Saccharomyces cerevisiae S288C: one gene and its partners. The gene in region 1 interacts genetically with each later gene. Each region holds a gene or a part of one and is shown on either strand. Other genes may lie near its edges.

Region 1 (4,187 bases):
CCAATATCCCGAAGCAAGCTATGGACCCTATTCGGCACAAACCTTGTACTGCTCAACCTATAGCTCTTGAATAGCGCCGGAATCTTGACTGACGATTCCTTTGATATAATGCCTAAATTCTCATCTTTCAGAGTACCTATATATAGTTTCTTTTTGTTTTCTTCTGAGAAAGGTTCTTGAGCACTGTTGTGTTTTGTTACCTGAATAAGGTAGACTATGTAATTATGCTTTGGTAATTTTATGGCATCAAGCAAATTTATTTGCGAAGATGGATATTTTTGCGCAAAAACATCCGTTTTTAAATCAACCAGAATATGCTGTTGAATATGAGAATTAACATTACTTTGTGCAATATCTTTTTCCATATCAGACATGCTGTTAATTAGGTCTCTATAAAGTTTCACGTCGATTATTGAGCTAGGTTCCGTACCTTTTTTAGATAAGATTCTGTCAAAGTAACTTAGTAAATCGTATCCAAAGTAAAGATCATCCTCAAATTGAAATTTCAGTTTATAATCTTCATCTAGCGCTTCATGAAGTCTGTCGTTGAACCATATGAAAAACTTCTCAAAAAGTGTTTCGTCCCTCCCCAAGCCTATTATTGAATTTAATGTCATAGTTAACAATTTCTGTGAACTTTTTAGGAGCACTTCAACAGCTGTCAAATCTGACGTATAACTGAGCTTATTCTGTATAGAAAAGGCTTGTAATATTGCCCTTAACTTCTCCACATAAATAATGATTCTTTCACATGCGGGTACAAATATTAAAGTTAAAATCTGAACAGTTTTTTGGTAAGCTTCACAACCTAAATACTTCCACCTTTTAAAGTTCTTCTCACCTACTGAATTGCAAAGCCAGTCTTCCAAGTCACATGAGATCTCTCCAAGTAAAAAGAGGGCTTCTAATTCCGATTTGAGTTTGCCATATCCGTAGGCTTCATCACACAATCTTTTGACGAAATCTAAATAAGGTGTTGCCAGTTCCCGGTTAATGAACTCGAGATGAGTAAGCATATAACCTATAAGCTCTTTTATTACCATTATATAATTCAGCAGGTTCACTGATGATTTGCTCTGTAATAAAGGTCCTAAATTTAAAGTTTGTACAGTTCCATCCTCATAGAAGCACTGGTAAAAGCCATCTTGAACTTTGATAATTGATTTTAAAGAATTTTCGTTTTCAATATTATCCACCGACAAGAAAACAGCGTAATCACCATTAAAAAAAACTGTAATTTTATCATTTCCCTCATTGAATACTACGTGAACGTCTAGTTTTTCATTACTATCTAGATCATCCTCATCAGGACCTCTCCACAAGCTATTCGGTTGAGTGTAAGGGACAATGTTTATCCTTTTGGAGTCCTTTACAAACCTTATTAGCTTTGGTAAATCATCAATGATGTTACATGCAAAATCTCGATTATTTGGTTCGTATCTTAATGGAATTCGGTCCCATATACCTTTTGATATTTTTGTACTCGGAATTCTTAGGAATGAAACTAATCGACCGTCTTTAAAAATGTCATGGATTCTGATCGTCCCATCCTTAAAAAAGATGGACAAAAATTTACCAGTAGTTGTATCCCAATCGTAATTCGCCACCAAGTTTATATTTCTTATTGGAATTACTGCAAGCCTAGCGTGATCCGAGACTCTGTAAATAGCAAGGCCTTTCGCAATTCTTGTAGCAAAGATTGGAAAAAGAGGGTTATAATCAATGAAATAATCATTAATAGGAGACGACATTTCGTCTTGAGTCGTTTACGCGTGTTCAACAGAACCCTAGGTCACGTCTTCTGATAAATCGAATTGAACGCATTCTGTGCTCCATTTTGTTATGCTTGGTTAAACTTAGGCGCTAGCTACGGAAAACAAAAATGTAAACCTAAAAAACCGTGAAATAACACATATGCGTCAAAATTAACACATGAGTCTACTGAATAACCGACTCAATAGATTAGTGTAGCGCAGGATTAGTACAGCTATGTTTAAGAAGGAGCCTCACATAAAAGCTTTAAGTAATTTGAAGAATTCCGAAAGAAAGAAGTTGCTACAAACATTCCAAAAACAAACGAATAATGAGGAATATAGCTTTCGTACTTCCACTATAAAACAAACCAACTTTAACGGCCAGAAAAGTGTAGGAACGGTTTACACAGATGAGAATAATACCCCAATATTATTCAAGGAAAAGCATAAGGAGCAACTTTTTCCAACTGTGTATTCTTGTTGGGAATATCCTGCGTTATTGCCGATCGTTTTAACTCATGGATTTGTTATAGAAGAACATTTATTCAACGGCGCTAACTTAATGATTTCCGGTTCGATCCCACCCTTTGATCCTCGTTGTAAAATAGGTACTCTTTGTGGTATAGCTAGCAAACAGGCACCAGAAACTGTCTTAGCCATCGGTATTGTCGAATTAGATCTACCGTCCTTTGATAAAGTAATTGGTGAAACAGGAGTTGCTGTCAAAATCATACATCATTTCAATGATGGGCTCTCCAAAGTCTTTAAAATGAAATTGGAACCTCCATTTGTTCTCAGTACTCAATCAAAGGATAACAATATCAGTAGTAAACAGATAGAATCCTCGGAGCAAATCAAGGCTGTTGAAAAGGAACAAGAAGATGTAAAAGAAGCGTCTGTTGATGTAGAGGAGATTGCTGAAGTTCTAGACCATTTCACTGTGTCGGATGTAGATTATTTCATTACAAGAGCATTATATTATACCTTGACTCAAGATAAAGGTTTGGAATTACCCATTTCAGCTTCTAACTTCATCTCAAACCACATTATGCGTAATTTGCCTCCAATTGATCACAATGAAGTCAATGTAAAGAAAACTTCATGGAAAAAAAGCGCAAAATTTTTGAAACACTTCGAGAAAGAAGGCTTCTTGAAATTAAAAGGAAAGGGGGATGACTTAACTATTGTGGGCAAAAATACTGACAAGGATGAGTTAAAGAACTTTGTGCCATATAAGCTTGGTTGTAGCAAGTCTGCCACAGAAAGTAGGGAGAGCACAACCTCGAAGGAGAAAACATCTGGAATGATGTATTCACTGACTCTGTATAAACCCTTTAATCTTGCCAAAGATCTTTTGAAGGAGGTTAATTTGGCTTCTCACACGTACTACACCTCTCAGGACATTAGAAGCGCGGTTTCTCAGTATATTTCTGTCAAGAACCTAGCAGACACAAAAGATAAAGGAAAAGTTATTATGGACGATCTATTATTCGATATGGTCAATAAGAAGAAGAAAGTCTTGAATGCTTCACGTATCATTGCTAGAGGTGAAATTTTGCATCCCTTACTCACCAATAATTTTACCGAGTTCTATCAGATATTCAAAAGCGATGATACTCTCTTGTTCAAGGCGCCAATGAAGGGTTCCCTTCCGCATATTAAGATTATTACTGAAATGAAAATTGGCAGAAAAGTTATTACCAGAGTGAGCAATTTTGAAGTGTTTCAAGTCGACCCAGAATCACTTGCGGCTGACTTAAGAAAGATTTGTAGCGGATCGACAACAATAAGTGAATCACAAACATTCAAATGTGCTGAAGTGCAGGTTCAAGGTCCACACGGTCAATCGATCATTGATCACCTTAACAAGCTAGGTATTCCAAGCAAATGGATAGACTTTGAGAACAAGTTGAAGAAGAAAAAAAGAAAGTAGATTTATATCATATAAATGTTTAAATGCGTAAAAATGCCCGACATCAAAGCATATAGAACTTTTTTACCTAATCGAAGCTTTTCTAAAGTAGGTATTATGGTAGTCTTGAAACCCACAAAAAATATGAATGTATCATGGGAGGGAACGAAATGTTTTCAACAGCGGTAAAAATATACTATATTTGTATATCCAGTTCATCTTTACTATTCTCTATTTTTTAGTGTAACTTACATTATGAGACTAGCGACAAAATCTCCTTTTTAAGCGAAAAGAGAAAACTTTCGAAAAACCAAAGTATTTTGAAAAACGACCTGAAATAAAGGGAATTTGAAGAAAACTAAACAGTGATAAGTCATCAAAGAAGATGCTATCCGTAGTAGCGATCCCGAAAATATGTGTCACAGGTCCTGCAAGAAGATGCTTTTTTCATACTGCAAAAAAACTATACGCAGATGACTATAAACCAGCAGCTATGTCCTCCAATGCACCTTCGCTAACAA
Region 2 (2,987 bases), on another chromosome or scaffold:
TTTATTCTGTTGAATCCTTGGATATAACAGATAACAAATTTAAGGAAAGAAGTTTGATAGATGATTTGAATAAGACATTTCCCTCTTTGAAAAATATCCATCTGAGTGGCAACGAATTCAACTACAACGGAAATTATATTAACGTCGAAGAACAGGCTACTTTTTATGAAGTACTGGCTAGGTTTGATCGTGTGATGGTATTGAATGGATCAATATGTGATGTAAAAACAAGAAGAGAGGCTGAGATGTTTTTTGTTTCCAAGGTAATGAATAACGAATTGAGCTATGACACCAATCTGCCGCGTTGGTCAAGCCTCATAAAGTCGTATGAAATCGATATGAGTAAGCTAAGTTTCAACAATGAAAGAGAAACACGGCAATCTCTTGTCTTAAAAATAAAGATAAGAGCTGGCAAGAAGCCGAGTAGTGATTTAGATTATTGGGTCCTTCCCAGTTTTACAGTAAGGTACGTTAAGAGTGTAATATGTCGAAAGCTAAACTTTGACATACTGAATGTTAAGTTATTTCATGAAAATTCTGAAGGGATGATAAACGAAATAAAGTATAATTTTCGCCCCATTTCAGATTTTAATGTTGTGAACGGAGATATTATTCATGTTTCGTCTCCAGTAAATAACAAGAGCATTCAGAAGGTTAACAGCCCATCGTAATCACAGTATATAGTTAATCTTGGCTAGTTGCATATTTAAAAATCAGGAAACAGCCTTTTAGATTGTAAGCGGATGTTATTCTAATTTTTTCTTAGTTTCTTTATTTTATTATGTAGCAGATGGATAGTAATATAGTGTTGACGGCTCCGTTTGTTACTCAACGCTGAAGTTCCATAAGGGGTCGCCCAAATGGTGAATCAATTCTATGGAATGACCTTTGTTCACTGATTTAATTTCTTCAGTACCCATCATCAATTCACCAATAGCCAATGCATTCTCTTTATTTTCGGCATTGATGACTACAATCGTACCTTTCTCGTAACCAGGAGCAGGTGGTAAGTCGGCACCCGCAGAAGTTAGGCCAGGGCACATGATATTAGCACCTGAGAGAACGAATTTAATAGCACCTCTATCAACCTGAACAGTGGGATAAGCCTCTGGAAATTTGTGTACTAATTTCAGGCTTGGAATCAGTTCATCGAATTTTTGAAAAAAAAGAACTTCACCATCGACGGAATACAATTGGATCTTATCTTCACATTTAATCAACTCGATTTGACTCTTCTTAGGAATTAATTCATCAATAACATCTTCTATTTTGGGGTACTGCTTGACCAATTTGGCCTTTAACGTTCTTTGAATTGAAGATTTGACCTTTGAACGTGAATGGACATCTTCTCTTGTGAATCTATCGATGATGATGTTAGTAATTGCTTACTGAGTCAAAAGTGTACACTAACCCCTGGTAAAACCAGTGAATTACGCAATATTCATTCTCATGTTAGACATACTTCTTAAACATTTCCTCTCTGCTGTTTTAGTTTACCGTCTTTGTCTTTTATATGGTTTTACATAAGGTTATAGCAAAATCAAGTTTTTTCACACAATAATTTTTCAGATAATTAAATTTTTCGTCATTTTTACACCTACAAATACAAAGCATAAGAGTAAGGTAACTATGAATTTAGTGGAAAATGACCATAATGATAATTATCAATAGATAAAATTATGGTTTTTGAGGTGAAGTTGAGGTCTCGTTTATAGACGGCACTGTCAGGTAATTGGTCAACTCTCCTATACAAAGTTTACTGTATCGGGTGAAAAGAAAGACACACAAGAAGGAGAACACTCATGCCTACCATTTTAGTTGCCATTTCTGTATTACTTACAATTCCAGCTTCTATAACGTGAACTCACATTAGAGAATTCGGTGAAAAAGAAAAGAAAAATATGGTTGGGCCCTCAATTGAATGTTTCAGTCCGGTATCCCTAACCTATTTTTTGATATTACTTCCAAAGAAAAATAAACAGTCCCTTTGAAAGAATGAATATCGGTAATGAAAAAAGGTATTCCAAAAATTCCCTACATAGTCTTGAAGTATTCAAAAGCGAACACCGAATTGACCATGAGGAGACGGTCTGGTTTATAATTAAATTTCAACCAGCAAAAACACAATCTCGGACGAATCCTCACTGATATGCGTATTTCCCGTGCATAAGGATGGAGTATTAAGGAAGGAAGTGAAAGAAAAGAAAATGCATTAAACGTAAGTAACAATAGTAATTGGACAATGAAGCTAACTAATATTCTGTTCCTTTTATATTCAGAAAAAAAAATTCGAAAACTAATATATCATTTTACACGATATTTGAAATTGAAATTTATCAAAATATTTACTTAATTAGTCTAAATATGTAATATGAAGCGACAATGCAGAGGTTACTTAGGCATTCTTGTATTCCTCGAACGCACTTATGATATCGTTCTTCGTGAAGCGTATGTTTGTCCCTCTATAGTGTTTATCAATTACAGTGTATAGTTTCAAGTATAGTGAGACGGTTTGACCTTGAATGCACGACCACAACTTATCGCATAGGACGTTGTTTATGGCATTTTCTTGGTGGTAACCGAAGTCATTTACCATATGAGTGTGCAGCCTTTTTACTAGAGTTTCAATTTCATGGGAAGTGTATGCTAAAAGAATGTTCTCTAGGTTCTGCCTGCTATATGCGGCCCATCTTGAAGGATTGGTCATGTTCACATTGTTGGTATTTTCAATGATGTTGCTCACACCATAAACAAAGGCTGTTAGTTTAGGCATAGTATCGCGGAGTAGAAAGGAAGCATAAGATTCTTTTTCCACATCGAAAACTTTCTTAACGTTTTGCAATGACGTATCAAATATACCATCCTTATTGAAGTTTAACATGGAAAGCATTTCAGTTAGCCAGTTACTGTTCACTAGGAGAGAAATAGTTTCCATATAGTCATTATTTAAAGCAGCAGTATCTGAAAGGTTTGGATTAATGCTTGAA
Region 3 (4,734 bases), on another chromosome or scaffold:
ACGGCACATAGGGTCTTACCTGCCAGTGATGATGATAGGCTCATTTCCTTATACGCTGCGAGCTTAGGAAAAGGAAAATACTGTTTCAAATTGGTCCCTCCGCAACCGGGGTCCAAAAAGGGGCTAACCTTTACAGAACCTCGCGTTCACTATTTTGCAGTTGAGAATAAATCTGAAATGAAGGCATGGCTGTCAGCCATAATAAAGGCCACTATTGATATTGATACAAGCGTCCCTGTCATTAGTTCATATGCCACACCAACGATACCTCTAAGCAAGGCACAGACGCTATTGGAAGAAGCTAGGTTACAAACCCAGTTAAGAGATGCTGAAGAGGAAGAGGGAAGAGATCAATTTGGATGGGATGACACCCAAAATAAAAGAAATTCTAATTATCCAATCGAACAAGATCAATTTGAGACCAGCGATTACCTGGAAAGTTCAGCATTTGAATACCCTGGTGGCAGACTTTGAGAACTGCAATCATTAGTTACTTCTTGACCAACTTAAACACCTTAATAATTAATATTTAATAGAACATAATATAGTGATATAAAGTATATAAAAATAAAAAGTTTACGAATTAATACAATCAAATTAGACACTGATACTATCAAGAAGTACATCGCAGGAACCGCAGACATGATGTCCTCTTCTTTCAAATTACTGGATATATATATTATTATTATTGTTACCATTAACGTTATTATTATTAACTATTACTATTACATTAACTTAAAAATAAATATGAAACAACGAAGAACAAAAAGAATTATGAAAACATTTAACATGTTTCAATTTGTTATGTTTTGGCCAACCTGCGTTTATTCTTGCATATGACATTTTTGTAATTCATCGATGATAACTTGGTTACCCTTTGGATCCAAATTCATAGCAACAGTTAGCTCCTTGATTGCATCTTTTTTCCTCCCAACTATTCTATATGTTTGACCCAGCAAATAATGGGCTGTGGCATCATCAGGAACGAGTTTCACCAATTCTTCAAAAGTTTGCAAAGCAACATTATATCTTGTCATGGAATAGAGCAACTGGCCCATCTTATATTTGGATAGCGAGGAAGTCGGTTGCAAATGACATGCTAGTTCATAATATTGTAGAGCCTTTTCCTTATAGCCCAGCTTTTCTAAAGAACCACCGCAACAACAGATTAACACAACATTGACGGGATTAATTGACCTTGCCTTTTCAAAATATAACAACGCTTCTTCATATTGACCTAATTTCATAGCGCTCGTACCCAATCCGTAATATGCATTGTAATGCTGAGGATCACAAGCTAGCGCCTTTCTATAGCATGTCTTGGCAGAATCCGAAGAATCGTTGGAAGAATGTTCATGACCTTGCAAAGTATACGCGTATGCAAAATTTGGGTCTAACTGAGTAGCTTTTTCGAAGGCTTTTATTGCGGCATCATGATCCTTTTGCAATGATAGCAAATTACCTATACAACACCATGTTTCGGGCTTATTAGGCATTGTATCCATTAGCCCATTTGCCAAATTTGAAGATTTAACCTTGTCATGCAAATGCCACAGCAAAGTAGAAAAAATTTCCATATCTTTTACCCTTGCCGGTTGTAGGTCTTTCAATCTATTGAAATACTTTAAGGACATATCATAATTAATGATCTCAAAATGAAGTTTTCCTAATTGCACTAGACACCATGGCATTGTGTCTTTAATATGAGATGGGATTTGAGACTCGAACAGTCTTATTGCCTTGAACGAATTGTATTGTGATGACGACCTTAATATTAAAGCGAAATTATACATGATTTCAGGCAGCGTAATTGAATAATCACTCGTTAGTATTGAGTTACTGATTATTAAAGACCTTGGATTTTTCTTGGAAGTTGTTAACCTTCCTGTTGAGGAATATAGGTTTCTTGGAGTTTTGAAAGTTGTTTTATTTATAATGTTATTATTATTATTATTATTATTATTATTATTATTATTATTATTATTATTATTATTATTATTATTGTTATTTTGGTGGTTCCTATCGTTATTTAACAGTTTCGATGGAGGAGTCGTTAAAAGTTTGTTTCTGTTATAAACTTTGGCCAACGAGCTTATTGTAGGCTGTTTGGAGGATGGAGACACTAAGTTCATGGAAATGTTATTTGGTAGCGCAGAAGACGTCTTACTGTTGATTGCAGGGTTTTTAGGAGTTTGAGTATTTTTGTTCTGGCAGGTCCTTATTGATGTGTTCGCTTGTTGCTGCTGTGACCTTGAGAAATGCTGAATGGAAGAAAAAGAAGATGCCGATGTAGAAGGGGGAGAATTAGACGACTGAAACAGTGTATTAACATTATTATTGATATTATTATTGCCGTTTTTGTTTGTTTTTGAATATAAGCTAGGTTGTGAACGAGGTTCGAAATGCGATAGTGATGTAGACGGAAACGATGAAGCTGCATTATTATTATGACTATTACTTTTTTTCCCTGCAATGTCGAAAAAAACCCTCTTGAGATCCACGGTAGCTCTCATTTTACAAATCGCTTCGTAAGATTCCCAAAGGTAAGGATTAATGGCTAATGCTTCAGAATGATAAAATGCTCCCTCCTTAGAATGGTCCAGTTTCATATAAAGATTGCCTAACAGGCAATTCAAAGTGGCCAAATCGGGAATATGGACGAGATTAGAATTCAACACCATATTTATGCGCGTATTACTGCTGTTCGAAGAAAATACATTTATTATTGAGAGAAGAGTGAGGATAGCTTCGTTAACTCCCTGCGAAAGCTGTAAAGCACAACGCCCGAATATGTAAGCGATACCAAGATGATACTCCTTGAATTCTTTGGATATCTGGAACGCAGTGTGGTAGCTTTTATTCAGAAACAGCGAAAGTGCATATAAATATACCGCATCGGACCAGTAAACACTTGATTTATCGAGAATGGAGCATTCAGCATAGAGCAGTTCGGCCAAAAACTCTGCGGTACTGTAGTTCAACTGCTGAATAGCCTGCTGAATGCAGTCCTGAAGCTGTATGATGGTGCTCAAAGCTTGATCATCAAAGCTGGGGATTCCTCTCGAGAGGGTGAACGGTGCTAACTCAGGATTTACCGCCATGCTATTTTTATTATGTATCCTGCACGAAAAGTTCGTGTCGATTTATGAATAGATATGCAGTCACCAAAACAGAGTCTAAAACTCTCACAGCTAGGTATGGTTTTTTGATAAACTTTTCTGTGGCACCTTTGCTTGCACTTTGATCCTTTTGGTTTACTTTCAGCCTGTTCCATCCTTTTGATCAAAAAAAAAAAGGAAAATCAAGCGCGGGTAATAACGGCACCATTAAATACTAGTAGTACTATATAGATGGTATAAAGAAATGATTTAAAACAATACGATTATATGATATTTATACATCTGTTTCAGTTGAGCTTTTTTTCCATAGAGCTGGTGGTACGAAGATGGCTTTTGGCGAGGGCGACCGAACCAGATAGCTGCGTCAAGGCCAATAGAAGCAACAGAACAGTATTCAATGCCAACAATAGCGTGCTTGCTTGTGAGTTTGGTGGATAGGAATTCCAGCACCACTCGTGCAAGACGTACCAAATGGGACCAACGAAGAAGGGCATTCCCGACCAAAAGATCAGTATAGGCAAAGTCCAGTGATACCAGGATAGAAACTGGTAGTGGAGGGACCTTGAAAATAGGACGCCGATGAAGTTGGATGCGATTAGAACGAATGGAATAGTCTTGGCGGGATTGGCATTGAGCACTGCATTTTTCCTCAGCGGATGGCACAGGGAAGACCATAAATCGGGCAGGATGCGAGGGTATCTTGTGACGAACAGTGTGGTGAGCGCTATCAGGTGGCTGATTAAAAGGGCCAAGTGGAACCTCTTATCATTGAAAGCCTCTTCATCCATCATTTGCCAATTGATACTCCATTGGTACATAAACTTCCTGCCGAAATTAAAAGCGCAATGCAGGTACTGTTGCGGAAAGCTGCGCAGGAAGGGCACTGCAACTGCGACTTGCCATGCAATCATCGCAACGAGATCCAACAAAGTAAGGATTACGTTCGCGTCATTAAGGATGAATAGAGAAATCATCATTGCAGGGAAATACAACAGCGCATTCATCTTAATGCTCACAGCCATACTGTATGTTGCGGAGATCACCAGCGCAAGGGACTTCTTTAATTTGGGGCGCTGATGGCACCTGCTGGCCACGATAGCCCCCAAAACCGTGACGACCATAAACAAAGTAGTGAAGCAATCATTGAATAACCGTAGCACGTAAATAGAGTGCAATCTTTTAGAGAGGCACGCCAAGACCACACACCACGGTGGTAGATGTAAAAGGTAGTAACACGCCATTTGTAACGCCAGTGTAAGGAGATACAAGTATCTGAAAAACACTTGCCCGCGCTCAACGTGGTCCATTCCCTCTGTTAGCCAGTACATCATCTTGTAGATCAAGACGTGGCCTGCTGGATACACCAGCGGGCCCGTTCCACCACTCACCTGAGAGTAGTCCAGCATGCCATCGAGCTGAATCATCTCGATCTGCTCCATGTACGCCTTGTAATCGATCTCTGTGTAAGCTACCTTCTTAATGATAATCTTGCACAGCATGCTTTCGAACAAAATCAAAAGGGGCATAACGATAAGATTGGCCCTACAATCGAAGATCACGTAGCGCACACCGTCCTTGAGATCCTGCCACAGATCCAGCGGAGGTCTGACAAATT

The links. Genes that interact genetically often act in the same process or in processes that back each other up.
Region 2: mutations in TMA64 (region 1) and TMA20 together harm fitness more than expected from each alone (negative genetic interaction), as found in Saccharomyces cerevisiae (3 studies listed by BioGRID, with this or other methods).
Region 3: mutations in TMA64 (region 1) and CDC27 together harm fitness more than expected from each alone (negative genetic interaction), as found in Saccharomyces cerevisiae (2 studies listed by BioGRID).

What each region holds. Positions count from the first base shown.
Region 1 is NC_001136.10:683,446-687,632, reverse strand, and holds TMA64 (Tma64p), read left to right. Parts: upstream 1-1,989; coding exon 1,990-3,687; downstream 3,688-4,187. Other genes in the region: APC4 (anaphase promoting complex subunit 4), read right to left, coding at 1-1,751; mitochondrial 54S ribosomal protein uL1m MRPL1, read left to right, coding at 4,052-4,187.
Region 2 is NC_001137.3:165,413-168,399, forward strand, and holds TMA20 (translation machinery-associated protein 20), read right to left. Parts: upstream 1,474-2,987; coding exon 1,463-1,473; intron 1,360-1,462; coding exon 825-1,359; downstream 1-824. Other genes in the region: PAC2 (Pac2p), read left to right, coding at 1-671; GTP-Rho binding exocyst subunit SEC3, read right to left, coding at 2,396-2,987. UniProt on the Saccharomyces cerevisiae protein: Involved in translation.
Region 3 is NC_001134.8:66,345-71,078, forward strand, and holds CDC27 (anaphase promoting complex subunit CDC27), read right to left. Parts: upstream 3,102-4,734; coding exon 825-3,101; downstream 1-824. Other genes in the region: BOI1 (Boi1p), read left to right, coding at 1-474; ALG3 (dolichyl-P-Man:Man(5)GlcNAc(2)-PP-dolichol alpha-1,3-mannosyltransferase), read right to left, coding at 3,407-4,734. UniProt on the Saccharomyces cerevisiae protein: Component of the anaphase promoting complex/cyclosome (APC/C), a cell cycle-regulated E3 ubiquitin-protein ligase complex that controls progression through mitosis and the G1 phase of the cell cycle.